Struthio camelus: one gene and its partner. The protein of the gene in region 1 purifies or fractionates together with the protein of each later gene. This does not show direct contact. Links are inferred from orthologs where the notes say so. Each region holds a gene or a part of one and is shown on either strand. Other genes may lie near its edges. The genes, in order: PA2G4 and NCL.

Evidence for each region.
Region 2: the proteins of PA2G4 (region 1) and NCL purify together in Homo sapiens (affinity purification with mass spectrometry; 3 studies listed by BioGRID and IntAct, with this or other methods). This does not show direct contact. The link is inferred for Struthio camelus from reciprocal best matches to the Homo sapiens genes PA2G4 and NCL.

Annotation. Positions count from the first base shown.
Region 1 is NC_090969.1:600,183-615,462, forward strand, and holds the start of PA2G4 (proliferation-associated protein 2G4), read right to left. Parts: upstream 7,089-15,280; 5' UTR 6,904-7,088; coding exon 6,816-6,903; intron 3,944-6,815; coding exon 3,815-3,943; intron 3,172-3,814; coding exon 3,066-3,171; intron 2,859-3,065; coding exon 2,789-2,858; intron 1,580-2,788; coding exon 1,487-1,579; intron 200-1,486; coding exon 136-199; intron 1-135. Other genes in the region: ERBB3 (receptor tyrosine-protein kinase erbB-3), read right to left, coding at 8,731-9,239, 10,483-10,762, 10,829-10,900, 11,520-11,675, 11,748-11,845, 12,308-12,454, 12,525-12,600, 12,938-13,093 and 4 more. UniProt on the Homo sapiens protein: May play a role in a ERBB3-regulated signal transduction pathway. Seems be involved in growth regulation. Acts a corepressor of the androgen receptor (AR) and is regulated by the ERBB3 ligand neuregulin-1/heregulin (HRG).
Region 2 is NC_090950.1:21,720,408-21,736,204, reverse strand, and holds the start of NCL (nucleolin), read left to right. Parts: upstream 1-8,825; 5' UTR 8,826-8,961; intron 8,962-9,552; exon of another isoform or gene 9,553-9,669; 5' UTR 9,670-9,819; coding exon 9,820-9,837; intron 9,838-10,476; coding exon 10,477-10,584; intron 10,585-11,461; coding exon 11,462-11,747; intron 11,748-12,083; coding exon 12,084-12,230; intron 12,231-12,630; coding exon 12,631-12,813; intron 12,814-13,054; coding exon 13,055-13,138; intron 13,139-13,282; exon of another isoform or gene 13,283-13,351; intron 13,352-13,426; coding exon 13,427-13,562; intron 13,563-13,879; coding exon 13,880-14,016; intron 14,017-14,522; coding exon 14,523-14,649; intron 14,650-14,859; coding exon 14,860-14,993; intron 14,994-15,356; coding exon 15,357-15,492; intron 15,493-15,590; coding exon 15,591-15,742; intron 15,743-15,797. UniProt on the Homo sapiens protein: Nucleolin is the major nucleolar protein of growing eukaryotic cells. It is found associated with intranucleolar chromatin and pre-ribosomal particles. It induces chromatin decondensation by binding to histone H1.

The DNA of each region.
Region 1 (15,280 bases):
CTGCTGCATTTAAAGGTGGAGCGTCTAGGACTCAGAGCCATTAAATGCTCTCCATAATTTGAACAGGGGAGGTTAGGATTTAGTGTGTAATTAGAACATTTGCTACCTCTGAATCAGCTACTCTCAAGTTCTTACCTTCAATTGGCGTGCAGTGAAACGAGTGGGCTATTTTGTTCCAAGCGTCTGTCACTTGCGTGTTCTAGATGAAGAACACATGAAAACACATTAAGGATATAAAATTCAAGCCAGAAGCATGATAGCTTTTCAACTTGACGCTGTTCTGTGATAAAACCAGCAGGCTTTCTAACTGAGCGGTGCTCTAACACCTCCAAAAAAGGAGAAACAGTGTCAGCCTTTCATTTTTAACCCTATATCAACGCAAATGACACGTATCATGAGGTTAACTCAGCTCTCCTGCATTGCACCCAGTGCCTTATCAGAGGCCATCTTTCTTTAGAAGATTACACTAGAAACTAAGAGCAACACAAGTATGTTTGGAATAGTAACACAGTGACAAAGGAGAACACCTACGACTGTTTAGGAGTCTGAGCACCAGACAAGGGAGAAACGCAAGTGGGAGATTTAAGGGAGTACAGTTAGGAGGATCCAGAGGAAAGTCTGAAGCGACTGCCAAGAAGTGCTTTGCAACGGACAGATACTGAAGTATGTAGTGGACATCCAGGCTTTGCAAGAGGGAAGACCAGATTTTACCCAGGGTTGTTGCCATTGTTAACTCGCAAACGCGGTGCTTTCAGTTGAGCTTTCCTTTTCTCTTGATGACAGGAGGCCCCTACAAGTGAAACACCTCTACAGACTGGTCCATCAGAGCCAAACAGACAACTGGCCCCATTATGTCTTGTTCTTATCGACCTTGTCCAGCAGGTCCCCAGTCTGGATGCGTGGCAGGATGCCGACAGTGAATGAGTTCTAGGGATGCAGGAAAATGTGCCATTCGTTTCACAAATAGGTGTAACAGCAAGTACTGCAGGCCCCGCTGCCTTCTGGGTCTTTTGCCAACTGAATCTAAAGCTGAGAAGTCAGCCACAACTTTGCTAGCAAGGCTCACCTGCTCCTTCCTGAATGGGATTGGAATCATATCATAAAGACGCTGTGACTCCCAACATTTAAAATTTTCTGTGCGTGCCCAGCTGTTTTCAGAGAGGAAGGAACCAGCAAGTGGAAGCACCAAGGCCTCTCTGTGAAGCCAACTTTACATAAGCAAGAGCTTAGATATTGCTGGCAAGCCAGAACTGCTGACAGGAAGAATCACCGCCACCTGCCCCAGTGGTCCGGCGCTCACCCCAGAAGTGGCTCAGCTGCCTGCAGGCAGCTGCTTCCAGATTCCCCACATAGCTAACAGTTCTTCCCAGGCAAGGTCATAGGCTTTTATTTCTACACATGAAGTGACCACGTGGCAAATTCAGTGTCTGTATTGGAGCTTCGCGACTTGTACCTAACTACACATTCGCAAATATCAGCCACTCACCTGGTTTCCAGGCTTTACCAAGCGCAGAGCAGCTTCAGCACAGAGATGAGCTGCCTTGATGACATCAGCTTTACGACCTGACACAGGGTTTTCCTGAAAGAACAGGAAAATAAAGGCTCTTTAAGATGCATGCCTTTCCCAGCTATTAGTAAGAACACTGTTCTGACTCCATCTAGAGATGGAGATAATCCATCTACCTGATTACTCTCCCACTGAGTGGGAAATCTAGATCAAAGGTGGAAGGACTTTGGGCTTCACAGCTCTGTCATTGGGCTCTGCTAAAAGAGCAGATGAGTACCAGCTACAACCAAATAAGTTCTGCCTTATGAGTTTCAACAGAAAAATCCCTGTACAAGCCCATCACTGTCAAAGACTGAAAATAGAACTAGACTCTTGTGTAGCCAGAAATACGGACTGGAGAGATTTCAACAGACTTCAATTTTTGTTCTCATCTTCTCCCCATCAAGTTATTCTTATGCAGCCACAGGAGAAAAGACGTTCCCAAGACCACAGCTGCCATCATCCTCCCAAGACTGAAACTTTATTCTAAACTTACGTGACAACTTTACACACATCTTATAACAGTAATTCCTGCAGCCAGTCTCATAAACGCAGCTTAATGTCACTTCCAAAAAATGACTTGACTGAATGGCTGGAGCACTAACCACCCATGCCATGGTGGGGTCCTCACAGATGCCTGCCAGGGGCTGCATGCTGCCCTGGATGAATAAAGCCACTTGCAAGTCTGTACCTGGCATATTCAGACAGAAAAAGCAGGCAGCAGAGACTAGATTTTGGGGCCAAGGAACAAGTCATCCCTGAACTCGGGGCTGCAAAGCTGAGGGCAGTGAGTCCCTGCAGCAGCGCAGCGTGCTTGGCTCCGCGTGCCTCGGCCAGCAGAGGGGGCAGCAAAACCAGTCTGCCCAGTCCGTCCCAGAGCCCAAGCCTCACCTCCATTTGCACAACAGGTACTAAATGCAAATAACTCACTGCAGCTCAACTTGCACTTGGTTTGTCTCAAACCATTTGTAACCTTGCAAAATTGTACATGTTGAAACAGTGCGTCATCTCGCGTTTTCCAGATGACTGAATAATTTTCAAAAAACCAGACCGTTTTCTTCCCGACACTGTTGTGACACCAGAGCTCAGGAGCCTTTGCAAAACTAAACAGAAACTTCTGTGACGCTCTACACTGCAGCCTTTGGGAACTAGCTTTTTGGGAACATCAGCTTTCTAATATCGCCCTCAGATTGCACTGAACGCAGCAGCTGTAAGACATACACCATTCCTTCAAAAACCTACCTTTGATGCATCTATGACAAAACTGTGTGCTACGTTCGCTATAAAACCATCAACGTGGACTCCCAAGTCACTGCAACACAAAGAGTTAATTACAGGTGAGGCCTCACAACGCAGGAAACTTGTGCGACTTCTAAAAGTATTAGCAGAGTCTCAGGCATGTTTCAAACGCTTTACTAATTAGCCAAGCCAAGGAAGGATTTAACACACCAAGTAGTATTAACGAGCGAAGCCCAGATGCTGACAGTAAATTCATGAGAAATATAACTAAGATGCTTACATTTTGACCAAGTCTCCGTCTTTGAGGATGTAATCTTGGTCACTCTTCAAGGGGGAGAAGTGACAGACACAGTTATTTACCGATATACTCGTTGGGAAGGCAATACCTATAAAGGGAAAAAGAAATATTCCATAAGTCTAGCAATCTCACACGCTGCACAGGCACAGACAGCAGCCCTGCCACTGTGGTTTGTCACTTAGGTTTTAGTCGTTTAAGCATCGTAAAACACTCCATCCATTACCTAAGGCTCTAGCCAAAAAGCCATAAGGAATCTAGCTTGCGGCAAGCTCCTACACTGGCCTTCTTTTTGTCCAGACAACCATCAAAACAAATACATCCAAGGCAGTAAGACACTTGCAAAAGGGACCTCAATTCTCCAGAACACAAATCACGGCGCTTTCAGTGACACACTCAAGTGTCACACAATTTCCATGGCAACTACAGACCAACTATAACCATATAGCAGGTCTTCCTGAAGAGAGGACGTTGTCCAAAGTAAGTCTCATTTCAATGTGAATGATTGGGTAAATCAAAATGGGAAGCTCAAGCTTATCAGTGATGCTTATGAACAGGGCAAGCAGGACGATTTGGATCAAAACTGGTTTTCTAGGAATGGTGAAGTATTTCTTACGCTAATTAGAGCAGAACTGTGCTTTCCATGCTGCTACTCATTCATGCCAGCCACCAAACAACACAACAGGACAAAAAATATCCTCATATTGAAAAAGTTTCTTTGGAACAGGCCTCACCTTTTTTCATTTCTTTTTCCTTCTTGAAAATTTTGCCAGTCTCTTCCATGATCATGGCATCTCCCTTTTCACACAAGCAGAGAACTGATGCTCCAGAGTTTGCTGCTTCAACCACTGCACGCAGGACCCCTTAATTCAAACAAAAAGCTGTTGAAGTACGTTCACCATAAACAGCCTTAAAACTAACAGCAACCCTCATCACACAGCCCCACGGTGAAAAAAGAAATATATCCATCTGTTTTCTAAAAAGGGACAAGACTGTTAGCTCAGCTTTTCACCAAGGACATAAGAGAAATCCCATTGTAATTTTTCGTTTTAAGAACTGACTTTCCGGGAACACTTTCACAGAAAACATGAGCAAGCAAACATACATTGGGATTTGCACAGGTGAAGTGCAGCAGTTTCAGACACCCATCTATACGCTCGCAGGTCTCTTAAACAAAGAGGCCAAGCAGAAACATCACTCTCCCACATTCTTTCCAGAGAAGTCAGAGCTTCAGAAACAGGTTTGAAAATTACTTGGGAGACAAAATACACAGCACATCAAAAGAGCAGGGGGCACTGTTGTGGACGTGTAGGACTATAACGTACAGATCAACAGAAAGACTTTGCTTGGCTCAAGAGCTGGCACCAGCACAGAACTAGCACAGCAAAGCCAGTTACATTAGCCTCTTTGCAGGAGCACGTTTTAAAGGTAACCCACGCTCCTCCTCTCAGTCACGAAGGCCAGGCAACACAAGCAGCTTACAGCATGCTTTCTGCCATCAGGAGCTTTACGTGCCTTGCTCCGCACTGGAGGTTAAAGAAAGCTTTGCTGCCTGTTTCCTGAATGTTGCTTGCATCTACTTTTGGACGTATTCTAGCTTTGTGCCTAGGAGTCTCATCAGCATTTTGATTACACCATAGCAGACAGCGTGCCTTATAGTATAAATGGGTAAAGGAATGTAAAAGCCACGGCTCGCGTTGAAATCCTGCAGGCTCACATTCATAAACACATTGCGATGGTATTCTAGGAGTAGCAGCCACGAAGGCCCAGGAGCTGCTGGAGCAAGCCACATACGTCTTGACTGCCTTTCTACCAGTCAGCAGGCCAGGAGCCAAGGCACTGCCTCTGTCACCGGCTGACTAGCTGCTATTCCCCTCTCTTCTTCCTCTATCAAACTGGATACAAGTCTTAAAGCTTATCCTCTAAAATGTTTTGGGATCCAGGGATAAAAGGTACACATGCAGTTTCTCCTCGCTCTGTGAGCGCACTGTTTTTACAAGAGGCTGTTTTGGAAGTGTCTCTATTTGCTGGGAGTTTCTGTTACCGATAGTGTGTGCTCTAGGTACTACAGCAATAAATACTTCTGAAGTGCTTAAGACATTTACAAGCAGATGGTTTTTCATAGTTTCTTTGACATAGAGTAAAAACCAAAAATCTTTCACCTGCATGATTGAATTCAATTTCAAATGACTTCAAGCAGTCATCTTTCCATGCGTCATAGATGGTTATGAATTCGGAATATTTTACAGTACAGATAAAACTGTGATAAAAAAGACATTTAGTGGATAGCAGGACACAGAGTTGAAAATAGAAAACGTCAAAACAAACACAGCAGAAAGATAAATGGAGAGCCGTGTTCATCAGAGCATTAGAATGAAACCAAAAAGCAGAGAGTGTAACAGCACTGACCAAGGAACATCTCTTAATTGTATTCTGTCCTTCCACAGGGCTTCATTTAGGAATTAAAAGCACTTTATGTCATTAAAGGCACGTCACACTGACAAGTACCCAAGACATTTTGAACTGGAAAGCCTTTTTGTCACAGTTCTGGATTTGATGTTCCCAAACACAGTCACAACACTACCAAGAGAGAAATGCTGCGATCAATCCACTTTTCCTCTCCGGGAACGGGGGTGTCCCCTCCGTGTAGCTAAACCTGTGGCATAACCTCTCTGCACCTTGCTGTTACATCCGGTTTGCCAAACAGCCAGTGAAAAACCAAAGAACCGACCTTCCTTCCCCAAGGGGGGGAACCTTTCCCCCCCGCCCCAGAGCAAAAAGGTATAGGGCCAGGAAAACACCAGCTAGCAACCCTTGTACCAACTAAAACATTACTGCAGCTTTCAAAAACCACGTCTTTCTCTGGAGCTGCATCCCAAGTTACTATGAAGAGCGATGACTTAAAAAGAAGCATTGGAGTCAGCAACAATTAGTGCGGCGTATACCACTACTGAAGCTGCTCCTGGAGCGGCGGGGACCTCATAAAACCGGTCCAGTTAGCTCTTTAAAACAGCTGTCACTTTTCTCGAGGGGGTTAACTAACCACCCTTAATGATACAGCAAAAACAAACGCTTAAAACAAAAACTAAAAAAGGGGAGGGGGGGGTGTTGGAATAACGCGAGGCGACCGAAGTTTGCAACACGCATAACACGTCTGACGAGCCCACGCCGAGCCCCCGCGCCCGGCTTGAGGCGGCTGCAGGCCCAGGAGCCGGCGGAAGAAAGGCGTTGAAGCCGCCGGCTTTTGGGTAAAAATAATAATAATAATAAAAAAGATGGGGGGGTGAAAGCGGCGGTGCGGCTTCCCGGGGACGTTGGCACAAAAGAAAGGATTTTTTTTTTTAAAAAAGGGGGCAGCCCCGACGTGGGGGGTGTGGGGGGGGGCAGGATGCGGGCAGCGGCGGCGCCGGCCCCACATGGCCGGGCCACGCGCCCGGCTGGCGGCGGGAGGGCGGGCGAGGCCGAGGGGCGCCGGGCCCGGCCCGGTCGCCGCCGCCGCACGTGGGGCGGGGAGGCCACGTGCGGGAGCGGCCGCCGCGTGGGCACCGGAGTGGGGGGGGGGGGCCTTCCTGGGCCGCCCCCCCCCCGCCGCTGTGGGTGGGTGTGTGTTGGGGGGGGGGTGTTAGGCCTCGCCGCCCACCCCGGGCCCCGGTGCATCCTCCCCCGCCTCCCGCCGCCACCGGGCAGGCCCGCCCCCCCCGCCCGCCCGCCTCACCGGCCGCGGCCCGCACTCACGGTTGGCGATGTCCCCCCCCATCTTGTACTTGGTCACCACCAGGTCCTCGGCGATGGTGAGCTCGGCCGCCTCCTCCTCGCCCGACATGGTCGGAGCCGCCTAGGCCCGGCCGCCGCCGCCGCCGCCCCCCTCCTCCTCCTCCTCCTCCTCCCTCCCGGCCGCCGCCGCCGCCGCCGCCGCCGCGCTGAGGAGACCCCGGGGAGCGCGAGCGAGAGAGCGCGAGCAGGGCAGGAGCGCGGGCTCCGCGCGGGGCACGCTGGGAAGCCGAGTCCCCGCCCCCCTCCCGCGCCGCCGCCGCCGCCGCCCGCGACTACAGCTCCCGGCGGGCCCCGCGCCCGCGCCCGCGCCGACTACAGCTCCCGGCGGGCCCCGCGGCTCTCTCGCGAGAGCGAGTGGGGAGGAGGCGGGGCGGCGCGGCCGGAAGTGGCGCGGAGGGCATTCTGGGAAGTGTAGTCTGGGGGGTGGCGGGTGGGAGGGCAGGGCGCCCCCCTGCGGTGTGGGGGGGGTTGTGGGGGGGAGTAGCGGAAGCCCCCCCCCCCCCCCCCGGCACGGCCGCTGCCCCCAGCCCCATGGCACTGGGCCCTCTGCCCCACACCGCCGGCCCCAGGCACTGCTGCCAGCCCCAGCCCCACGGCAGCCCCCTGCCCCACAGCACCAGCCCCTATCACTGCCCCAGCCCCATTGCGTCCCCCTGCCCCATGGCCCCAGCCCCATTACCTCCCCCTGCCCCACAGCCCCAGCCCCTGTCACTGCCCCCAGCCCCATTGTGTCCCCCTGCCCCATGGCCCCAGCCCCACTATCTCCCCCTGCCCCACAGCCCCAGCCCCTGTCACTGCCCCCAGCCCCATTGTGTCCCCCTGCCCCATGGCCCCAGCCCCACTACCTCCCCCTGCCCCACAGCCCCAGCCCCTGTCACTGCCCCCAGCCCCATTGCAGCCCCCTGCCCCACAGCACCAGCCCCTGTCACTACCCCCAGCCCCATTGCGTCCCCCTGCCCCATGGCCCCAGCCCCATTACCTCCCCCTGCCCCACAGCCCCAGCCCCTGTCACTGCCCCCAGCCCCATCGCAGCCCCCTGCCCCACAGCCCCAGCCCCATTGCCTCCCCCTGCCCCCATCCCCACCCCCCGCCCCACAGCCCTGGTCCCTGCCCCACGGCCCCTGCCCCACACAGGCGCCGGCCGTTCCTCGACTTCCCTTTGTCTTTATTTAGCTTTTAACAGACAGACGGGACCCTCGGCCCCACGGACGGGCAGGGGCACGCGGCGGCGGCACCGAGCCGGGGCGGGGGGCAGGCGGGCCCCACGGCGCCCCTCCGCCGTCCTCCGTCCCCGTCCCCCTCCAAAGCCTTCGCTAAAGAAGGGGAGACAATCGCAGGGGTTTTATGTTTTTGGCCCCGATTGCGGGGCTGCCGCCCCACCTACCCGCGGCCTCCGGAGGGTCGTTACCCGCGCCGGCGGCCCCTCATTAACGAGGAGCATCCCAAACCTGCGCGGCCAGCCTGCCACCGCTGCGTGGGGGGGTGCCGACATCCCCCCCAAACCTTCATCCCGGCTCCGGCAGGGAACGGGGACACCTGAAAACGACTTTGGCTTCCTTCTGGCCCAGAAATCCTGCCGATTCTGCCCAAAAGGCAGCCCCCACCCCGCCCCGGCTTCGCGCTTCCCGCAACAGCATCGGCTTTGCCGCCAAACCCCAGGAAAACGGGGCTTTCCCGCGGCCGGGCTCCGCCGGGAGCCGCCTGGGGAAACTGAGGCATGGAGCGGGGCCGCCCCGGGGAACGGGGGGGGGGGGGTCCGTCCACCGCGCTTCGGGCCCCCCCTTGGCCATCGGGCTCGTGCCCCGTGCCGGGCGCGCACGGGCTGGGGTGGGGGGCGAGCGGGGTGGGTTTTTTTTTGGGGGGGGGGGACGACCCCCTACGTCCGCTGGGCGTCCGCCTTGGCGAAGAGGCGGCTGTGCCAGTAGTCGGGGTTGTCGAAAGCGCAGTCCGAGGCCTCCAGGCTCCGCAGGGGCTTCATGAAGGGGGTCGGGGGGCCGGGGGGGCCGGGGCAGCGGGCCAGCCGGGGCGCCAGCACCGCCTCCATCTCCTCGTAGCCCTGCTCCTCGGCCGCCTCGCCGGGCCGCATGTCGGTGTAGCCGTCGTGCCGGGGGCCGGCCACGCTGCCCAGCGAGCGGCTCAGCCGCGGCTGCTTGTTCATGTACTCGTAGTCTTCCTCCTCCTCCTCTTCCTCCTCCTCCTCTTCCTCCCGGCGGCCGGGCGCGGGGGCCGCCGGGGCGCCCGGCTCCGAGCCCACCTCCATGTACTCGTAGCCCAGCTCCTCCAGGGAAGCCGGCCGGGCGCCGGGGGGGGCCCCGGGGCGCCGGTTCATGTACTCGTACTCCTCCTCCTCCTCCTCCGGCGCCGAGCCCCCGGCGGGCTCCGGCTCTGCGGGGCGTCGAGTGAGACGCCGGCTGGGTCGTCCCGCCCTGGAGCCTGCCCCAAAATGGCCCCCCCCCGCCCCGGGTTGTCCCCCTGCTCTGCTGGGACGGACCCGACCCCCCCCCAGCCCCATGGGGATGGGAGCCCCCCAGCACCAGTCCTGCAAGAACGGACCCCCCCCACACCCTGCATGCACAGACCCCCTCCGACCCTGCACTGATAGACTCCCCCCACCCTGCATGCACAGACACCCCCCCTGCACTGATGGACCCCCACCCTGCCATGACAGACCCCCATCCTGCATGCACGGGACCCCCACCCTGCAATGACGGAGCCCCCCCAGCAATGTCCCCCTGCCGTTCAATGATGGACCCCCCACCCTGTATGCACAGGACTCCCCACCCTGCACTGATGGACCCCTCCCCCCAACCCTGCATGCACAGGACTCCCCACCCTGCAATGGCAGACCCCCACCCTTGCATGCACGGGACCCCCCACCCTGCATGCACAGGACCCCATCCACCAATGACGGACCCCCCACCCTGCAACGATGGATTTCCCCCCAGCAATGATCCCCCCGCAATGATGGATTCTGCATGCACAGGACCCCCACCATGTAATGACAGACCCTCCCCACCCTGCATGCATGGGACCCCCCACCCTGCATCCACAGGACCCCCCATCCTGCAATGACGGACTCCCCACCCTGCAACGATGGACCCTGCATGTGCAGGACCCCCACCCTGCATTGATGGACCCCCCCGCCCTGCATGCACAGGACCCCTATCCTCCAGTGACGGACCCCCACCCTGCATGCATGGGACCCCCACCCTGCAATGATGGACCCCCGCCCTGCATGCACAGGACCCCTATCCTGCAATGACGGACCCCCACCCCGCATGCATGGGACCCCCACCCTGCAATGATGGACCCCCGCCCTGCATGCACAGGACCCCTATCCTGCAATGACGGACCCCCACCCCGCATGCATGGGACCCCCGCCCCGCAACGATGGACCCTGAATGCACAGGACCTCCATCCTGCAATGATGGACCTCCCAACCTGCATACACAGGACCCCTGTCCCGCAATGACGGACCCCCACCCTGCATGCACAGGACCCCCACCCTGCAATGATGGACCCCCACCCTGCATGCACAGGACCCCTGTCCTGCAGTGACGGACCCCCGCCCCGCAACGATGGACCCTGCATGCGCAGGACCCCCAGCCCTCGGCGCCGGCCCCCTCACCCCGGGCGGCGCAGTTGGGGGCCACGTAGCCGTTGGCGTCCTCCTCGCTGCCCTCGGTGCTGGGGGGTGGCGGGGGGAAGCTCTCGCGCTGCGACAGGTAGGCGCTGTCGCCCCGCGAGCGCAGGCTGCGGCAGAGGCTCCCCGAGAGCGACAGCCCCTCGGCCAGGTCCAGCTCCGACGCCGTGCCCCGGCCCTCCGACGACTCCGACACCGTCCGCCCCAGCGACTCCTGCCGGCTGCGCCGCGGCGGCCGGCCCCCGCCGCCCTGGGGGACACGGGGCTGACGGGGGGCTCGGCCGACCCGCCCCCCCCGCCGCCCCCCGCGCCCCCCGCCGCCCCGCGGTACCTGGCGGCCACCGCCGAGGCCGGGCTGGTTCATGGGGATGTAGCCGGCCGGGGGGCTCAGCAGGCTGGGGCTCTGCGGGGAGAGGCGGTGGGTGACGAGGCCGGCCGGGGGGGGACGGACGTGCCTGGGGCCTGGGACCCCCAAACCCTGCCCCGTGCTGTGCCCGGGACCCCCTGCCCCATACCCTGCCCCACACCGTGCCCAGGACCCCCTGCCCCATGCCATGCCCTGTGCTGTGCCCAGGACCCCCTGCCCCACACCGTGCCCAGGACCCCCTGCCCCATGCCATGCCCTGTGCTGTGCCCAGGACCCCCCTGCCCCAAACCCTGCCCCACACTGTGCCCGGGACCCCCTGCCCCACACCGTGCCCAGGACCCCCTGCCCCACACCGTGCCCAGGACCCCCTGCCCCATGCCATGCCCTGTGCTGTGCCCAGGACCCCCCTGCCCCAAACCCTGCCCCAAACCCTGCCCCACACCGTGCCTGGGACCCCCTGCCCCAAACCCTGTGCCATGCCCGGGACCCCCTGCCCCACACCATGCCTGGGACCCTGTGCCCCAAACCCTGCCCCACACCGTGCCTGGGACCCCCTGCCCCATGCCCTGCACCCTGCCCCATACCCAGCACCCCCTGCCCGGGATCCAGTCCCGGGGTGGCCAGACCCCCGGCAGGGAGCAGCGCGGGGTCTCACCCGGGCAGAGCTGCCCCGCGGCCGCGAGGGGTAGAGCCCGGCGGCGAGGCCGAAGGAGGCGTCCAGCTCCTCCTCCTCCAGCTCCAGCGTCTCCACCTCGTCCAGCTCCTTGTCGCTGAGGGTGGGGGGCTCGGCGGGCGGCGCGGCCCCGCTCTCCTGCCGCGGGAGGCCGCGTTAGGGGCTGCGGCCCCGGGGCCGGGGGGGGGGTTTGGGGGGGCCCGCGCTCACCTTGATCACCAGGTAGCGCGGCGGGTCGCGGGCCATGCGGGTGAACTCGTTCGCCAGCTCCTTGAAGGTGGGACGGATGTTCTCGTCGATCATCCAGCCTGCGGGCAGCGCGGCCGCTCAGCCCCGGCGCCGGCACCCCGCGGACCGAGCGAGCCGGGATGCGCCCTCGGGGGCTGAGCTGGGACTCAGCACCAAGCTGGGACCCTGGACACCGAGCCAGGACCCCAGGGACCCAGCCGGGACCCCGGGACGGAGCCGTGCTGTGCCCCTGGGATGGAGTCGTGCCGTGCCCTGGGGACCAAGCCATGCCGTGCCCCTGGGATGGGTCCAGGCTCCCGGGATGGGGCTATGTCCCTGGGATGGAGCCGTGTCCCCCCCGGGATGGAGCCACGTCCTCAGGATGGAGCCAGGCTCCCGGGGACGGAGCCATGCTCCCGGGATGGAGCCATGTCCCCTGGGATGGAGCTGTGTCCCCAGGATGGAGCCGTGTCCCCAGGGAGGGTGCCGTGTCCCCAGGACGGAGCCGTGTCCCCAGGACGGAGCCCTGTCCCCGCACTCACACTTCACCATGACCATGTAGACGTCGATGGTGCAGATCTGGGGCTGCGAGAGCCGCTCGCCCTTCTCCAGCAGGTCGGGCACCTCGGCGAGCCGGATCCCGGCGTAGGGCTCTGCCCCGAAGGTCATCATCTCCCAGAGCGTCACCCCTGCGGGGACAGGCGCCCGTGAGCCCCCGCGCGAGCGCCGTGGGGCCGGGGCGCCCGCGGCCGTGCTCACCGTAGCTCCAGACGTCGCTCTGGTGCGTGTACTTGCCGAAGTGGATGCTCTCCAGGGCCATCCACTTGATGGGCGTCTGCAAAGCAGGAGCCGCGTCGAGGGGCGCAGGGGGCCGGGGGCAGGGACAGGACCTGGGCTGGGGGTGCTGGGCCAGGGGGTGTCGGGGACCCGGAGCAGGCAGGGGACGCCCCGCGGCGCGGGGGGGGCGTCGGGGACCCGGAGCGGGCAGGGGACGCCCCGCGGCGCGGGGGGGGCGTCGGGGACCTGGAGCGGGCAGGGGACGCCCCGCGGCACGGGGGGGCGTCGGGGACACCCAGCAGGTAGGGGACATGGCACCCCGGGACACAGGGGGTGTCGGGGACCCAGGGTGGGGGGGGGACATGGCACCCCGGGGCCTGCCGGCGGGCGCCCACCTTGACCTCGTTATAGAAATACTTCTTGTCGTCGGGGTAGAGCAGGTCGGCGATGCCGAAATCGGCCACCTGGGCCTGGCTGGGCGACTTGAGCAGCACGTTGCGGGCGGCCAGGTTGCGGTGCACCATGCGGTGCTCCTCCAGGTAGTACATGCCCTGGGGCGGGGGGTCAGCGGGCCGGCGGGGGCTCGGGTGCCCCCCACCTGCCAACCTCCCCCCCCCCCGGGGACTCACCTTGGCCACCTGCACGCACCAGTTGAGCAGCAGCTGGGGGCTGATGCCGTCGCGGTTCTTGCGGACGTAGTCGAGCAGGGAGCCCAGCGGCAGCAGCTGCGTCACCAGCTGCAGCTGGGCGCCGGGGCAGATGCCCAGCAGCCGCACGATGTAGGCATGGTCCAGGCTGCCGATGGCCAGCATGTGCTGCGGGGGCACCGTCAGCAGCCGCCGGCCCCGGGGAGGGCGGCCGGCCGGCCCCGGCGCCCCGGGCAGCCGCACTTACGTCGGTGACGGCGTGGAAGGACTGCTGCCCGCTCCAGTCCTGGATCACCTTGATGCTCACGGGGATCTTGAGGGAGTCGCCGTCGGGGATCCAGATGCCCTGGCGGGACGGGGGCGAACCCGGTGAGCGCCAGGGCCCGTCCCCATCCCTGGGGGAGCCCCCGCGGCCCCGAGCCCCCGGCTCACCTTGTGCACGGTCCCGAAGACGCCAGAGCCCAGCACCTTCAGCCGCTTCAGCTCCGTCTCCTTGAAGATGCGGGCCAGCACCTTGTTGGCTTTTTCACTGGGGTCCAGCGGCTCCAGGCTCTGCCCGGCAGGAGACAGAGATGGACAGTGACAGGGAGGGAGAGAGATGAGGATGGGGATGGGGACGGACAAGGATGGAGCTAGGGATGGAGATGGATGGGGAGGGAGAGGGGGAGAGAGGACAGGGATGGAGACTGATGGAGATGGAGATGGAGATGGAGATGGAGATGGAGATGGAGATGGAGATGGCCGGGGGGTGCAGAGGGACAGACGGCCGCGGCCCCCTCACCTCGCCCCTCTCCAGGTAGCGCCGCATCGCCCGCTTCTTCTGGATCTTCTTGCCCCGCCAGTAGAGCAGGGTGAGGAGGAAGCAGGAGCAGGAGAGGAAGAGCCCGCCGACCACCATCACGGCGATGACCGTGGGGGTTTTCCTGGGCACGGAGGGCGCGGGCTGAGCCGGGGCGTGGGCAGGTCCCAGCAGCGCGCCCGCCGCCGCGCCCCACGCGCTTCCCACGGCCCCCCCTGCCGCGGGGGCGGCCGCCGGATCCGGCCGCGGTGACGGCGCTGGGGTGCGGCGCGGGCAGGGCTGGGCTGGTGCCCCGGGGCCCGCGTGGGCGGGAAGGGCCCCCCTGAGCCCAGCGGCACGGCACGGCTCAGAGCGGCACGGCTCGGAGCAGTGCAACGTAGCACGGCACGGCTCAGAGCAGCACGGCACGGAGCAGTGCAATGTAGCATGGCACGGCTCGGAGCAGCACGGCATGGAGCAGTGCAACGTAGCACAGCATGGCTCAGAGCAGCACGGCACGGAGCAGTGCAACATAGCACGGCACAGCTCAGAGCAACATGGCTTGGAGCAGTGCAACGTAACACGGCACGGCTCAGAGCAGCACGGCACGGAGCAGTGCAATGTAGCATGGCACGGCTCGGAGCAGCATGGCACAGAGCAGTGCAACATAGCACAGCATGGCTCAGAGCAGCACGGCACGGAGCAGTGCAACGTAACACGGCACAGCTCAGAGCAACATGGCTTGGAGCAGTGCAACGTAACACGGCACGGCTCAGAGCAGCACGGCACGGAGCAGTGCAACATAGCACAGCACGGCTCGGAGCAGCACAGCACGGCTCGGAGCAGCACAGCATGGAGTAGTGCAACGTAGCACAGCATGGCTCGGAGCAGTGCAACGTAGCACAGCACGGCTCGGAGCAGTGCAATGTAGCACAGCACGGCTCGGAGCAGCATGGCTCGGAGCAGTGCAACGTAGCACAGCATGGCTCGGAGCAGCAAGGCACGGAGCAGTGTAATGTAGCACAGCACGGCTCGGAGCAGCATGGCACAGCACAGAGCAGTGCAACATAGCATGGCACAGCATGGGGCAGCAAGGCATGGAGCAGTGCAACGTAGCACAGCACAGCTCCGAGCAGCACGGCACGGCATGGAGCAGTGCAACATAGCACGGCACGGCTCGGAGCAGCACAGCACGGCTCGGAGCAGTGCAACGTAGCACAGCACGGCACGGAGCAGCACAGCACAGCATGGAGCAGCACACGGCATAGAGCAGCGGCTCCCCGGCGCGAGCCGGGCGCCCCGGCACCGACTGG
Region 2 (15,797 bases), on another chromosome or scaffold:
TCTGAAGAAACACTGGACGCTTTGGTGCGGGCTCAAAGATGAGGCAGAAGACGACTTCCTTTGTCTCTTTCTAGTCTTTTTTTTAAGATGGGGGGTTTGTTTTGTTTTTCTCTCTAAGTGACAGCGTACCTAGGGAGCTTGTGAGCCTGCTCTCCTGGATAAGACAGAAAGTGGCAACTAGGTGTAAATTATATTAATGGACCTTTTATTGGACAGATGCAATATCATTGGACTATGGCATGGGACAGAGGAAGTAACGGAGGCAAACGCTGCCCAGTCACCAGAGAGAACAAATCAAATCAGGGTTTCACAGCGTGATAAGCCCTTATTTGCTCAGAGAAAATGGCAAGTGCTTTTGGTCTTTGCGCCAGAGGCTGGGAAGAGCCACTTGGTCGTCGGCCTCCCCTATGGGCAGGGGGCTGCTGGCCCGGATGCAGGTACTTGGATGGAAACTGCTTCTCAGAGGCTTTTGGGGCAGCTCTGCTCTGTCCTTGAAGCAGCTGCAGTTGATTTGAGGTAGGTTGAGTAACCTGACGCTGTCAAGAAGGCAACCTGCTGTGGGTGGAGGGGAAAGCTCTTGCTCACAGGGAGGTAGAAAAAAAGTCCGTGAAGAGGACCGTCTTGAGCTGCTCATCCCCTGTCCTCGCGCTGTTTCAAGACTTTCTTGAGCTGTGCAGGGAGATGGGGGTCCACAGCCCCTCAGTGCTGGTTGCAGGAGGGTCCCCCAAGGAAAATATTTGGGGTTCCCAAAATGTTATTGCTCCACTCTGGGACAAGACCAGGGCTTGGGAAGGTTGCTGTGACCAATGCCAGCTGGCACAGCCCGTGTTTGCCGGTCCCCGTGGGGGCTCTGTCCTGGGGCTGTTTTGGGCTTCACGTTCAGGCCAAATGCTTCTTCCTGAATCTGAGCACCGTCTCCTAGAAGATATTGGGTCAAACCTGGCAATTCCTCATTTTGAGGAGGTAATGCTCTCTGAGGACACCCTGTTTGGACCAAAGGCTCCCAGCCAGCTCTGGGTTCAGGGTGGAAAGAGGCTGTGAGCCCTTGTGCCTGTGCCAGGGACCTGGACTGCTGGGCTCCTCCTTCAGCTTCTGTGTTACCCTGAGGACTTCCCATCTATAGATTGGGCCTTATCCTGCCTGCCAGGGCAAGGATGTGAGATGGTCCTGCCACATGCTGGGCTTTGCAGTCCTTCATGGAGGACACTGTGGTTGCCACAGCAATGTTGACGCTTTGCTGGACAAGACACCTCGGGGGAAAGTAAGGTACCTGCTGGCACACTGGGGTTCAGCGCTTGGCAATCCAACACGTCATTTTCTAGTGAGTAAATAACCTTCTTTGTTTGGAGTGACATTCAGCCAGCCACGTTTTAATGCCATTAATCTGAGACATTGAGGCTCTGCTCTGCTCATCACTGTCTGCATAATAAAAATGCTAAAGCAGCCAGCAAATTATTGGAAATATGGAGCCCAGCAGCAGATAGGCAGGCCCTGGTCATGCTGTGCTGGTGCTTAGTTAAAAAAGGCTTGCTCCCCTCCGACTGGTTTGGCCTGCTTGCTGGCCTTTGCTAACAGCATCCCAGGTCGCGTGGGTGCCCGGAGCCCAGCTCTCCTGTTCCCCGACACCGCAGCCTGTCTGTCACAGCCAGGAGGGTTTCCTTGGGCCACCGGTGAACTGCCCTCTCTGTGCTCCTTGCAGCCAGGGCATGTCCTGGCCTCCTGCTACCCAGCAGGAGCTTCGACTCCTGTGGGGTCACCAAGGCGCCAATTCTGCTCCAAATGCTTCTCGCTGTGAGCTCTCATCCCACGTAACTGCACCGCTCCTTTGGAGTGCTTCGTGCCCCTTTCTTGCCATGTTATAAGTGATTATTAATGCATCAGTGTTGTGCTGCTGAACCATAATGTCTTTAAAGTCAATAGCATTAAGCATTTAATTACCCAGTGGGATGAATTAATGTGGTGCTTTGTTTGCTCTACAATTAAAAACGAGCAGGAGAGATACAGTGTAATTGTCAGTCTGCTTTAAACTTCCCATATCACTTGGTGCTCCGGGAGATGAGCTGATAGTTTGCGAGGGATGGGAAGGAAAGGGCTTTTCCCAAGGAAAGCATGATCCTCCCTCTCCCTGAGCATGCAGGAGACATGGTAATGCGCTTACCCGGCTTAATGGGATATTGCTGGGGCGTTTGGGACCAGGTTTCAGGTCTGACAACAATTTTGCTGCTGCCAGTGTTGCCTTGTTGTTGCTGGGTTTTTTTAGCTGCAGTAGAAGAAAGTTTGAAGGCAGTGCTTTTAACTCACACCCTGCCAGTGGGAATTTCCACGATGAGAGCTGATAAATGAAACTGCCTGAAATAGCTGGGACGAGGCACAAAAAACCCAAGAGCCAGCCCAAGGCCAGGGAAGTACTTTCGGCCCTTATTTCTAACCTCCTTTTGGCTCCCTGTGACGCAGCTTGCTGCAAAGGGGAGGTCGGGGCAGACGGCAGGTGGAAAGCTGGGTGGGCTGAGCCTGCCTGGTGCTGTACGGGTGACTCCTGAGCTCGGGTGTTCCCCAGGCTGTCAGACGGTCTGTGCAGGGTGAGCTCGCTTGAAGCCAGCCCGGGTCACTGGAGCTTTGAAAGCACAGCCAAGTGCAGACTGACCCTTCCCGAGAAGACGGGCCAGTGAAAGGCACTGGGCCAGGACCAGCGAGATCTGGTTGCAGACCAGTAGATCTGCGGTTTGATTTCTGTAAAATGGGTACAGTCACCTTTCTTTCCCATCGGGGCAGCTGTCAAATGCACATACGTGTGAGCTCTCTGAAGCAGAGACTGCCCGAACTGTGGGTGCTCAGAGCACCACAGGGTCCCAGCTGCTTCCACCTGGGGCCTTCCAATGCAAATGCTAAAGTCTTTAGCAAAGCACGTGTAAGCTGCCCGCAGCTGTGTGACACCCCCAAGCTGGGGGCTGCACGCAGAGCCTGCAGGGACCCAGCTCCCCTGCCCTCGGCCCTTGCACCATCGGCTACTCCCACGGGAGCAGAGGGGCTGCGACCCCCTTATCCCCGAGCTCTCGCTGCTCAGCTGCTGCTTTGATGTGACTGTTGCAGGTAAGGCTGTGGGGAAGCCCTGGCCGGCTGTGCCACTCTGCTCACCCTGTGGCATGTGTGTGTCAGGCTGCAGCTGCCCACGTGGACACGTGTCCGTGATGAGCGGTGAGCGCACGCGGCTCCCGAGCCAGGGCTGAGCTCACCCAAAACTGCCTTGCTTGGATGCAAATGCAAAAATGGGGGCAATGGAAGGAGACTCCTGCCTTTCTGGTTTGGGACTCAACAAAGATTCAATTTTCAGTCTGAAAAGGAAAAATGTTACTGTCACTTGAGCCTGAGTTGCTCTGACCCCGTTCCAAGCAGAGCATCTGCCTGCTGCTGGCCCCGTGCCCGGGAGCTGGTGTGAAAACGGAAATAGCCAAATACAAGTCTGTGAGCAGTGGGAGCTTCCAGCAGGTAAAACGTGAGTGATCGAAGGCAAAGCCACAGGTCACTGCACTGCAGGCCTTTGCCCAAGGGCAGATTTGCTGAGAGAGGAACAGTTCACAGATGTTTTACTCCAGAATGGGCCCCCTTCCCAGTCAAAATGAGCTCAACATCTTCAGTATCTAGCCTGGGGAGCAGCTTTGGGGTTTTGCAGCTAATGTTAGTATTTTGGAGCGGCTCTGTGCTCCCATGGGGTGGATGGTGTGTGTGGGATGGCGTGGTACACGCTCTCTGAGAAGCGTGGGCTTTTCCAGGCAAACCCTGCTCGGGCTTTGGAAAGCTGCACGTTTTGTGAAGTTCATCTTTTGCAGGGAGCTGTTGCAAGCAACAAGGGAGCTTGCCCGAATCTCAATGTGAGCAGATCTCGAGATACAGACCCACCTGGGACCCGTGGCTCATCTGGATGCGACCCTATTGCCCCTGTCTGGAGGGTTAATATGATGCCCAGAAACGTGCTGATCCCAGAGCAGCGCTGAATGGCTGCCTGTAACTCCTCCACAGGTTGGTTTTTTTTTTCTTTTTCTCCCCTTGGATTATAGAAGCATTTGCATGTCCAAACTCCTCCTTCGTTTCCAGCCTGTGGATTTTCTCCATGCTGTTGGAGAGAAGAAGAAGGTCCCGAGCTCCCCTCCCTCCTTCCTTCCTAATTGTCCCATAGCTTCTTAGCCCTGTTTCTCTTATTTAGCTCATGTCCCATGTAGCAGTCCTGCTTGTTTCAGACTCGCTTCTCTCCCTTGCATCATATTTTCCAGCGCTGGCATTCTGCCTCCTGTTTTGCGAAGCCGAGAAAGGGTCGCGCATGGCCCAAGGCTGCGGGCTGCCCCAGGTATTTGCGGGGGGCTACAGGCAGGCTGCAAGGCTGTGCTGTTAGCTGCAGGCAAGCGACGTCAGGGAGAGGAACGGGGCTAGCAAAGGGCTGTCCTGGGGGAATCGGCCTTTTGTGGAAAGAGAAAACTCTTTTCTCTGCAGGGTGCCAGGGATGATCATGTGAAGGGACCCTGGGGGGGGTCACAGGGAGACTAAGTGCAGCACACAGACTTCCTGAGTGAGTCACCAGGGATTTTTCCTTGGCACGAAGGTGATGCCAAGGGAATGGCACAGATCTGCAATCGGCCGGGGTGGGGAGAGAGGAGGTGTCTCGCTGGGGGGGGGGGGGGGGCGCACGCCAATCCCAATCCTGGCCCCCTCTGTCCCAGGTGGGTCCCCTCCCATCCTGGCAGTGGGTGCCTCAGGGCCCGGCTGTGTCCCTGCCCAGCCCTGGGCGCCCCTCCATCCCTCAGGGTGGGACGGGAGGGGATGCTGTTTCCTCCTTCTCTCCTGTTCAGCAACAGGATGAGCTGCCATTAGACTAAGGCCAGAAAAAGAGTGGGGAGAAGCCAGAATGGGAGGAGGAAGGGGTGAGAAACCATCGGGGAGGAGATCCAGCAAACCAGCTGGCATCCTGCTGATCCCAAAGCCATGGGCTAAGACGCAGGAGCTCAGCAGTTTCCCCTCCGCCTGCTCTCGTGCTGGGTTTTTGGGCTGAGGGAGCTCTCTGACAGCACAGAGCGGGCTGGAAATGAGGGCTGGTGTCCCTATCTAACAGGCACCGTTGCACAAAGTGCCAGCCGAGGGAGGCGTGTCACGGCCGCTCCAAGCAGAAGACAGTCTGGTGTGCAATCCCTCAAATTCAGCAAGCCCTGTGCGCTTCGCCCTCGCGGGCTCTCCCTGCAGCGCTGCGCAGCAGCCTGACCCATCCAGCCTCTTCGCGAGCCCCGCTTCGGCTTCAGCGTGCTGCTGGGGGGGTGATGAACAAAAGATGTAATTAGGGGAGACCTGACTCATTTGACACCCTGCATGAATCAGAAGTGGAGCTGTGGGACAGCAGCAGGTGGCCCTGTAGCTGGGGAAGGGGACTTTGCAGGGGGGAGGATGGGGTGCTGGAGAGGTTTTAAGTGGGGATTAGACCTCAGATGCATAAATTTACTTTTTTTTTTAGGATTCCTTCAGGATAAGGCAACCTTGCTCCCGACCCACGTTTCCGGCAGCGTGGGTGGAAGGCGGTGCGGGCAGGGGTCTTTGCCCGGGGTCCCTGGTGGCTGTTAGGCAGCAGATGCTCCCACAGGTAAAACTTTTCCTCTCCCGCCTGCGCTTGGCTGCTGCCTTTACGTGGTGTGTGTCGAACGCAGGGCTCGTATCAGGCCTTCCTCTGTGCCCCGAGATCCACCGGGAGAGACGCAGCTGAGGGGGTACGATTTCCCGCTCGGCTGCAGCCCTGGGGAAGGGCTTTGGGGAGCCCGAGGAGAGCAGGGCAGCCCCGTGGGCTCCCACCGGGGACGGCAGACACGGCCTTTTGTCACCATCTAGTGGAAATGCCCAGCTGCAGCCAGGCGCAGATTGAACGGGACATTCGGGGATGCTCCCCCAGCGGGGTCCCTACAGAGGTGTCCTGGCTGGGTGCCCGCCTTGCCCTGCACAGGGCATTAACCCTATGTGTGCCAGCGCCCATCTTTTCCCGGCACCAGCTATTTGCACATGCTGCAAGCCCAGCCCATCAGCAGACCCCGTCTTCAGCTGGTTTCTGTTCCCCTGGCCCAGCTGGGGGCTGCCAGATAGCTCAGGGCTGCAGGACCTGGCTCTTGGGGTGCCATGTCTGCCCCGCAGTGCCCGCTCTCTCACGGCTCTGAACCTCTGCTGCTGTGTGAGGTACTCCCACTGCTCCTGGGGACAAGTCCCTGCTGCACCATAAACCAGGTGGGAAAACCCCTCCTGTGGTCTCCCCCAAGTTTGTGTCTGTTAAACAAGTTGCCTTTAACAGTGGAACTAGATCAAAGCCCCCAAGGTGCAGAGATGCTACAGCAACAAGTACCTAAAAGCACCTAAAATACATTTGCTCCACAAATTGGGCTGTTAATCCTGCTGCTTTAGCCAAATTTCCTGCACTCATGCTGCTCTGCAGACATCCCTTGGCCTTGAAACTTGTAGCTGCGCCTGCAGAGGGGCAGGTGTATGCTGCGTTGCCGGGGAAGCCTTGCACTGCGGTGCGTCCTCAGCAAGAGCCTGGCCTAGGCACTGGCTGCCCAGGCAAACCAGCATCCTTTTGCCCAGTGCATCCGACCCGTGTGCTACATGTGGCATGTGGGGACAAACCACAGCCTTGCAGTCGGTGCCCTGGACACCTTCCCCCCCGCCCCAAGCTGTCCCCTGCAGGCACTGCAGCAGCAGGCAGGATCGGGCCTTACGCTGAGCCCTGACCTGCCTGTCCACAGCACACAGGTTAATGTCGCATTGCGTGCGGCCTCTGCTCTTCTTTTCCCTTTGGTGCACAGGTGCTGTGCTCCTTCCCCCAAATGCGGGGTCCTGCTGCAGCCTCCGTGCCACCTGCACTGGGGACGACCTGTCAGCACCAGGGCACGCGCTTGGAGTAAGAGATGGAGCGCGAGCAATACCAAGACTTCCCCTGCCAGGGCCAAGAACCGAGTGCTGGCCGGCCGCCAGTCCACCCCTTTCACCGCTTTTCCGGCGGGCCCGGAAGCGACGTGCCCAGCTTTGCCCACGTGGGACGCCAGCCAGGGCGGGCGGTTGCTGCGATAACCTGTGCAAACCTTGCGCAGACGTGCCACGGCTTTCAGCACTGGCGGCTGCAGGGCAGGTGGGTTCGGGAGACGGGCAGTGCTGCGATGGGCAGCAATCCTGCCCTGCCCCGTGGGCAAGACGCGGTTGGACTGGGCACGGGTCTGGGGGTACCGTGCTGCTGCTCCCTGCTGATGTAACCAGGGGCCTGGCTGGGTCTACGTGGGGCCTCGCTGGGTCTATGACGGATTGAGGACCAAACCAAAAAGTGACAGCGCAGAAGATGACGAAGGTCCTGTGGGGCCAGTGTTGAGTCTAACCCCCTCTGAACCAGTGCTTGCTGCCATGAGGAGGGGTGTCCCCAGGGGCCCTTTTCTAACACCGCTGCCATGGGTGCGTTCCCCTGGTCACCCTGCCAGCGCTGAGCGTTAACGCCACTGGTCCCGTGCAGAACGCACTCCTCCCACCCCAACCTGACCCATCTCCAAGCCAGCGATCGCCTGCTCTTTGCCAGGTGAACACCACTTTTGAAACAGCGTGGCATCAGTTCAGAGGTGGCATTCGCCGTCTTGTTTCCTGCACCGGCTTAGGATAAGCCATAAGATTGCAGATTGCTGAGCCCATCACTGGCACGTTATTGAACACACACAGTGCCCTGGCTACCAAAACCATCCACGGCTGCAGCAACGGCTGTCCTTTTCCCGTGAGAAACAAGCCCCTCTGCAGCGACACGGAGAGGAACCAGCCCTGGCTCTAGCAGCAGCACTGGAAGAGCAACGCTAAGGATCTTGTTACGCCGTGGCTGCACACGGTAAAGAGCAAGCAATCGGCTCTTGCTTTAGACAGTAAAAATTCCCAAGAGGCCTCTGCCTCCTAGGATGGTACCAAGTCGCCCAGTGTCCCGACGGGCAGCCCTGGGTTTGTGTTAGTGGCTCCTGCAGCACGTGCTGGAGTGAGCCAGAAGCTGCTGTGTTTCACGTGTAGAGCCCAGCTGCCCCTGCGCAAGGGTTTCCCCTGGGCAGGATGCCCAGCTCCCCGTTGGTGTGACCAGGGCTGGGAGGCAGGCAGCGTCCCCCGCTGTCCCAGCACCATCCCAACCTCTCTGAGGGCTGCCTTACTCATGCAGACAGGTCCTGTCACCTCTTTATAAGCTGGTGTCCTCAGCCCTGGCTCTACCCGCCTGGAAAACGCCTCTCTTCATCCAGCAGAGGAGGCAAATACAGTGGCCTCCCTCACAGCACGTCCCTTGTCTGCAAGTGGCACTGAGCACCCCAGGGGTGTCCCCTCAGGGCTGCATCCACCTAGAGAGTCTGGGCACTTTTCCCTGGGGCTCCCCAGGCTCTTTTGTTCCTCACATTAGGGGCTTCTCCCAGGCAGGTGCTGGGAAGGGCGAAAGCGCTGGCAGTCACGGTCAGGCGAGCCCAGGATCTTACCCAGTTTGACAGGGCAGTGGATATGAGGCAGCTGGGAAGCCAGAGCAACAAGAGGCCACTGAGCTACTCGGCTGAGGGAAGGCCGCGTCAGGCAGGGTGCGAAGCAGCACTGCCAGCACACTGGCAAAGAGTAAACAGGGGCGCAGCACGCTACCCTGGGAGCCTTTATACCGTGAACTTTATAACCACCGGGGTAAAATTCCACGCGAAGAGGGCTGATCTGTCTTCTCTCACCATTCATTACGCAACCATAATTCATTTTTTACAGCACGGGGTCCTTCCTCCGCGTAGTGAGCCAGTGGCACTTCTGTCACCAGGAGCGCTGTCAGCCGGCGGGCTTTCTGTAACAGAGGCAGCTGCGGGTCATCTGCTGCGTCAAGTGTAATCCCAGTATGTGCAAACCTCCAAGCTCTTGGGCTTTTTAAACTCAAGAGACTTTCAACTTCTGTAGCAGCTGAAGGTAAGAGTCTGGGTGTGCGCTGAGAACCAAGTAATTGGGGAAGGGACTACAGAAGGGAATGGAGGCGGTGGGGCAGAAGTGGAGAGGAAGGAAAAGGGGGGGGGGGAGGAACCGGAAAACAAATACAACTCCTATCCGTTTGCAAACTTTTACCTTCCAAAGAAAAAGCAAAAACCGTTTTCAGGCTGTTTTACCCCTGCAGCCGATCTTTAGCAGTGCCGGGCTGCCAAGAACAGCAGCAGCTGCCCCGGGACCCCCCTGCCCCGGGACCCCCCCCCCCGGCCGCCCCGGGCCCGGGCGCCCACCCCCGGCGCAGCCCCACCACGTGGCCGTCTGGCCGCCACGTGCTCTCCCCCGGCCCGGCCACGCCCACCCGCCACTAAGCCCCGCCGCCCAATGAGAGCGCAGGCGCCGAGTTGCCGCCCTCTCATTGGTTGCGTCGCTTCCTCGCGGGCGGGCTGAGTGCTCCCCTCGCTCCCCCCTCCCTCTGCACGCACACGCTCTCTTGTCGTCAGCTGTAACGCGCTCTCCCGTTGGCTGATCGAACAGCCCCAGCGATTGGCGGAAGGGCTCGAGGGGAGGAGGCGGGGATTGGTCGGGCGGGCCTAGGCGCGCGGCGATTGGCCGAGGCGGGGGTGGAGGAGGCGGGGCGAGGCGGAGGGCTAGGCAAGGGAACGGAAGGGGCCTGCGCTCGCTCTTTCGTTTCAGTCCCCGGTTCGGTCGCCAGTGTCTTGCGGCCGCTCCCGCCTTCCATCCGGGGCCCTCTTCGCTCCCCCTCCCGCCACCCCCGCCGGACACGGCCCTTTCCCCGGAGGCAGCTCGGTCGCCGCCCTTGCGCCGCCAGGCCCCGCCGCCATCATGGTGAAGATCGCCAAGGTGAGGCCGCCCGGCGGGGCCGCGCTAGGCCGCGCCGCGGGGCGGCAGTAGCGGCGGGCGCGGACGGCGCGGGGAGGGGGAAGAGGCGAGCTAGGCCGTCCTCCCGCCGCCTGCTCCCGCCGTGCGGGCCGCGGCGGTTTCCAGGCCGCCCCTCCTTCCCTGTTAACATGGCGGCGGGAGGAGGGGCGCGTTGGAAAGGAGCGGTTTCAAGCCCCCCCCCCGCCTTCTCCCTCCATGTTGCCGCGCGCGAGGGCCCGGGCGCGCGCCGCCGAGGGGAGGAGGGGGGCTCCGGGGCCCGCGCGCCGCCCGGATCGGGGAGGGGGGGCGGGGAGGGGGGAGAGCGTGGCTTGGCGCGCGCCGCTGCGTATGCGCGCGCAGGGCGAGGCGGGGGGGGGCGGTTTACGCCGCCGCGCGGCCACGTGGTGCGCTGGGGCGAGCGAGCACGTGGGAGCGCGGGGCGCCGGCGTCCGCCGCGCGGCGGGAGCACCCCGGCCCCGCGCGGCGGGGAGCCACGTGGTCGGGAGAGCTGCCCGCCCGTGCGGGCGCCGGCAGGTGGAGGGAATAGCTTGGACGATGCATCTGCTTCTAACCCTCGGCTGAGGGAGGAAGCTCCTCTTAATACCTCCCCCTCTCTTTCAGACTCCCAAGAATCAGATCAAACAGAAAAAAATGGCCCCTCCCCCCAAGAAGGTCGAGGAAAGCGAGGAAGAGGAGTCTTCTGAACTGGAGGAGAGCAGCGGAGAAGAGGTGATGATGAATCTAGAACACAACCGAATGGGTGCATGGGTCCCAAGTGTTGCAAGGTTGGGGGACGTATGAGGAACAGAACCGTTGTTAATCGGTAGTCATATACTACATACATATCTATTGACTGTAGCTGAAGAACGAACAGGATTTTATAAGAGGAAAGCGATAAGGGAAAAATAGTTTAACTGTTCAGTCTATGTCCTTCCAGATTTTGAAAGGAATGTGTGGGTCTTACAGCTGTTTCTAGTACTGATGAGCAAGTGAGTGATAAATAATCAGATCTGGAAGGACCTCAGCAGCTCTACTCCTGTTTCCCCTTTCACGTCACAACTAGCGAAATATGCTCGTTGTTCTAACAAGTCACTTCACCATCCACAAATAACATACAAGAGCGAAAATTTGAAGCTGTAGGGTGCTGCTAGAGAAATCGCAGGTGCTGCCTTAGTAGCAGGGTATTCGAGAGATGCTTGGCTGTTCCAGAAGTTGTCAAACGCACGACAAAGCTGCTTTTGAGCTTTACCAGGCTAATAGTAATTTAACAGCAACTAAATAAGTCTGTTAAAGGGATACTTGCTAGATTGCAGTTGTCGTGCATTTGTAAGGCTGCCATGTTGAAGTAGTAATGTCAAGGTATAGATGCAGAGATGGGCAGGAAAAAGTACAGGAGTCCAGAGAGAGCAGATACTCGATTTATTGGGTGTGCAGAGGTAGCCATTTGTTGGCTGTATCTCCTAAAGTGCCATCTTCCCATGAGTGTGGTTGCATAGTTCATATCAACTGTCAAGGCATAATGTCACTGCAGTGTCATGTTGTCAAGTTTGAAATTCCTTTAAAGGAGCTGCATAAGAGTCCTGCGCTCGCTTCATGTCTCTTTCAGATGGTCCCTCAGAAGAAACAACAGAAAGCAGCAGTTACACCAGCTAAGAAGGCTGCTACCCCTGCTAAGAAGGCTACCCCTGCAAAAAAGGCAGTTATACCAGCCAAGAAGGCTGTGGCTACTCCAGCTAAAAAGGCTGTTGTTCCATCACCTAAAAAGGCTGCTGTCCTAGGCAAAGGAGCGAAAAATGGAAAGAATGCCAAGAAGGAAGAGAGTGAGGAGGAGGAGGAAGATGATGATGAGGAGGAGGAAGATGATGAGGAGGAGGAGGATGAAGATGACTCTGGTAAGCTACTTTTGGAATATGTGTCCATCTTGTAAGCTGACTGAAGTTAGCTCATCCCAGTAAGTGGATTTGAGTACCTTAAAAGCTGACAGTTCAGCATGTTTTGGTACTCAAGAGTGTTTGGTAAGTGAAAGGAAGTAAGCAAGGAAAGATGAAGAGTTGGTGAGGTTTGCAGGAGAATTTCTTGGACTGTGCCTGCCTTGTGCAGGGTGTGAAGCATGTTCTAGTTTTCTGATTGTTCTTCTCTGAAGTTTGCCAAAACGCAGGGAAACAAAGTACTTGACTGAGTTTGAAGGTTGAGTGCTCTAGGTGAATGCTTGCTGTACTTCATTGCAGATGAGGAAGAGGAGGTAGCAGTGCCTGTGAAACCTGCAGCCAAAAAGCCTGCAGCTGTACCAGCCAAAAAACCTGCAGCTGTGCCAGCAAAACAAGAGTCTGAGGAAGAGGAGGATGAAGATGATGATGAGGAGGAGGAGGAGGATGGTATGTGGTCCACAAGGATTGAGAGAAGCTTGCTCTAACTCTTAGAAAATGCATTTTTTAGAAGAGGTGAAAACAGGCTTTCAGGGAGCTCTAGGCCGGTAACTTAATGGGTGGTTAATGGCAGCGATGAGTACGTGTCTGTCCATGTTTACTAGTGCCCGTCAGATATGTTTGAATGGGTATTCCATTTTCCTAAAACTATTTCCTAAAATGTTATTCTTAGTGCAGTAAGACTTGGAGGAGGGGCAGTTTGTTGTAAGCACTATAAAGGTATAAATGCTTTCTTGAGATCGTGTAGATTCAAGCAGACGTTCAGAACTCTCTTACTTCATGTGACGTTTTTGGTTCGATTTACAAAGTGGCTAATCTTGAACCAAGTTTTGTACTGAACTCATTTCAGAGTCTGAAGATGAGGCTATGGACACAACCCCTGTTCAAGTAAAGAAACCTACTCCAGTAAAGGCTACACCAGCTAAAGCTAAGGTAGAGTCTGAAGATGAGGAGGATGAAGATGATGATGAAGAGGAGGAGGATGAAGAGGAGGAGGATGAAGATGAGGATGAGGAGGAAAGTGAGGATGAAAGTGAGTTTAAATGGTTTGGTGAACATAGCCATGCATAATAGCAGGAAGGATCTCAACAAAATTTTTGTCTGGTCATGGTCTTTTGGAGTGGAAAGTAATGAGTAGTTGCGGTGATGGCACAAGAAGGTTTTGTGTATGAGCTGCTTGAAGATACTCATATGCTAATCCAGCATAGCAGAAGCTGTGTTTTGTTTTTTTGGCACTTCTAATTCAGTGTTCTTTTATTTGTTCTCCATCACAGAACCTGTCAAGGAAGCACCTGGAAAGAGGAAGAAAGAAATGGCCAATAAAAGCGCACCAGAAGCCAAGAAAAAGAAGACAGAAGGTACCTTGGTGTGGGGTCATCGAATGATGCTCATGGCATTTGGAAATGTTTAGGAGAGACTTGGGAATCTTCATTTAATATTGGGCTATTGGGTGAGATGAGACACAATAACTGAAAGGATTGCATGTTCAGTGTGTTCTTGCCAGCACAAATGATGATTCTAAGGGACTTAATACTGAAACGTGATGTCATTTTAAGCAGAAACTGATGTGCTAGAACTGTCCAGTCTGTTTCCAGTTCATCTATCTGCCCTAAAGAAAAACTCAATTTTTTTTTTTTTTTGGGAAGGGCCTGCTTCAGCTTTCTCTCTCTTCGTGAGAAATTTGACACCAACCAAGGAGTATGAAGAACTGAGGACTGCTATCAAGGAGTTTTTTGGCAAGAAGAATCTCCAAGTTACAGAAGTTAGAATTGGTTCTTCCAAGTAAGTTCTTCAAAATACTGGGATGCTTGCTTGATGCTATACGGAAGCTGGAAGAAGTGCAGGACATGTACAGTACTGATAGGGTATAATGCTTGCCAGCAGCTGCTTCAGACAGTATATCCCAGAAAAGGAAAGCTGCTACCGAAGTACAGAGCAGTCGTGTGCTGTACTATTGCTTTGGTTTTCTGGGGCAGTTGGCGTTTATTTTATTAACGCTTTAATTTGACCACTCCCTTCTGGTTCTGGGTTTCCTTATATATATAGTTTTCTGATGCTAGAGCAGATCAGGCTAGATAATAAAGTTATTCTTCTTTCAGGCGATTTGGCTATGTAGACTTTTCATCTGCCGAAGATCTGGATAAAGCTCTTCAACTGAACGGAAAGAAGCTGATGGGTTTGGAAATCAAACTGGAAAAAGCAAAGAGCAAGGAAAGCCTGAAAGAAAACAAAAAAGGTACAGCACATTGCTCTGAATACCTGGGGGCATTAAAGAAAGAAGCTGTAATAATCAGTAGGTGATAACACTTAGCTTAGAGTAGGCCCACGATATTACTGATGGCCATGATGTTAACCTTTTAAACCAGAGTCCCACTGGTTTGGGCTCTTACCATAAGCAGTTTCTCAGCAGTTTCTCTGTATTGTAACTTAGAGATAGGCAAGCTCTGACTGCAATGTCTGGCAACGTAATGACATTGTAAGAAATAGGCATACTAGGGGTGCGAGGAAGAAATGTGGCTCTGTCCTTGGCTTTACATTCTGACTTGATGCTCTTGAGAGAGAAGTGTAACGGCAGCTTAATTGCTTGTCATAATTGCCTTGTCTGCGTCTGAAATGCAAACTTATCCTGTGTTTTTTGTACTGGATGAATTCACTCTGGTTTTCTTAGTAAGCTGGCAATACGTGAGAAAGGATTTTTAGCTCAATGGTGACGTGAAAGTAACTGCTTATTTCTCTTTGTAGAGAGAGATGCTAGAACACTTTTTGTGAAGAATCTACCCTACCGTTTAACTGAAGATGAGATGAAAAATGTGTTTGAAAATGCAATAGAAGTCCGACTAGTATTTAGCAAGGAGGGGGCCAGCAAAGGGTATGTAGCTGAGAGGACTGACTGCTTGCCATTTCTCAAACACTTGATGTATTTTGATAAGCTCATGTGTCCTTTAGCTATCTCGGGAAACGTGCTGGATTAGGTGTACTGAAAAAGCCAGTTCAAAGCGCTTTTTCGCATCACCCTGTTCATAACTGTAGTCCTTCCGAAAATGACGTTATTTGCCTATGTTTTTTCCTTGTGCTCTAGGATGGCCTATGTCGAATTTAAAACAGAAGCTGAGGCAGACAAAGCTTTGGAAGAGAAGCAGGGCACAGAGATTGACGGTCGTGCCATGGTCATTGACTACACTGGTGAGAAGAGCCAACAAGAAAGTCAGAAAGGTACTCTTCCATATCCGTGATGTGCGTGCAGGTGACACTTAGGATTTAATTCCACTCAGTTTTAGACGTTTGATAGGGATAGAACAACTGGAAGCGTTGTAGGAAAACTGTAAGGTAGCAGTGAGGCACCTTTTAGCAGATTTGTGCTCTGAATCTCATGCATTTTGTGTCTGTGCTGCATGTGTTTCAATCAGAGGAAGACAACTACTCCAGGTGACTAAATCAGTACTGCGTTTAGTCTCCTATGCCCACAAGGAAGGTGGGGAGGGGCAACAATTATTTTCACCCTAGGGTGGGTCTTCTCTAGCGAGAGAACTGTCCTTTTCCAGACTTGCACTTCTCATGCTGAGTTTTCCTTTGTAGGAGGAGGAGAGAGGGAGGCAAAGACCCTAATTGTAAACAACCTCTCATACTCTGCCTCAGAAGAGACTCTTCAAGAACTGTTCAAAAAAGCTACAGCCATCAGGATGCCACAGAACAACCAGGGCAGGCCTAAAGGGTATGTTCTGCATCTGTACCAATTCTTTCAGATGGCATTGTGCATGACTTCCGGTGACTTCCTGTGCTCGCAGTCTAACTGAAATCTTCTCCAAATAGGTATGCGTTTGTAGAATTTCCCACACCTGAGGATGCCAAAGAGGCTTTGAATTCCTGTAACAATACAGAAATTGAAGGCAGAGCAATCAGACTGGAATTCAGTTCACCAGCCTGGCAGAAAGGGAACATGAATGCAAGAGGAGGTTTTAATCGTAAGTGTGTTTCCCCCATTTGGTCATTTGGTCTCGAGACGGCTGTGACTTGGGC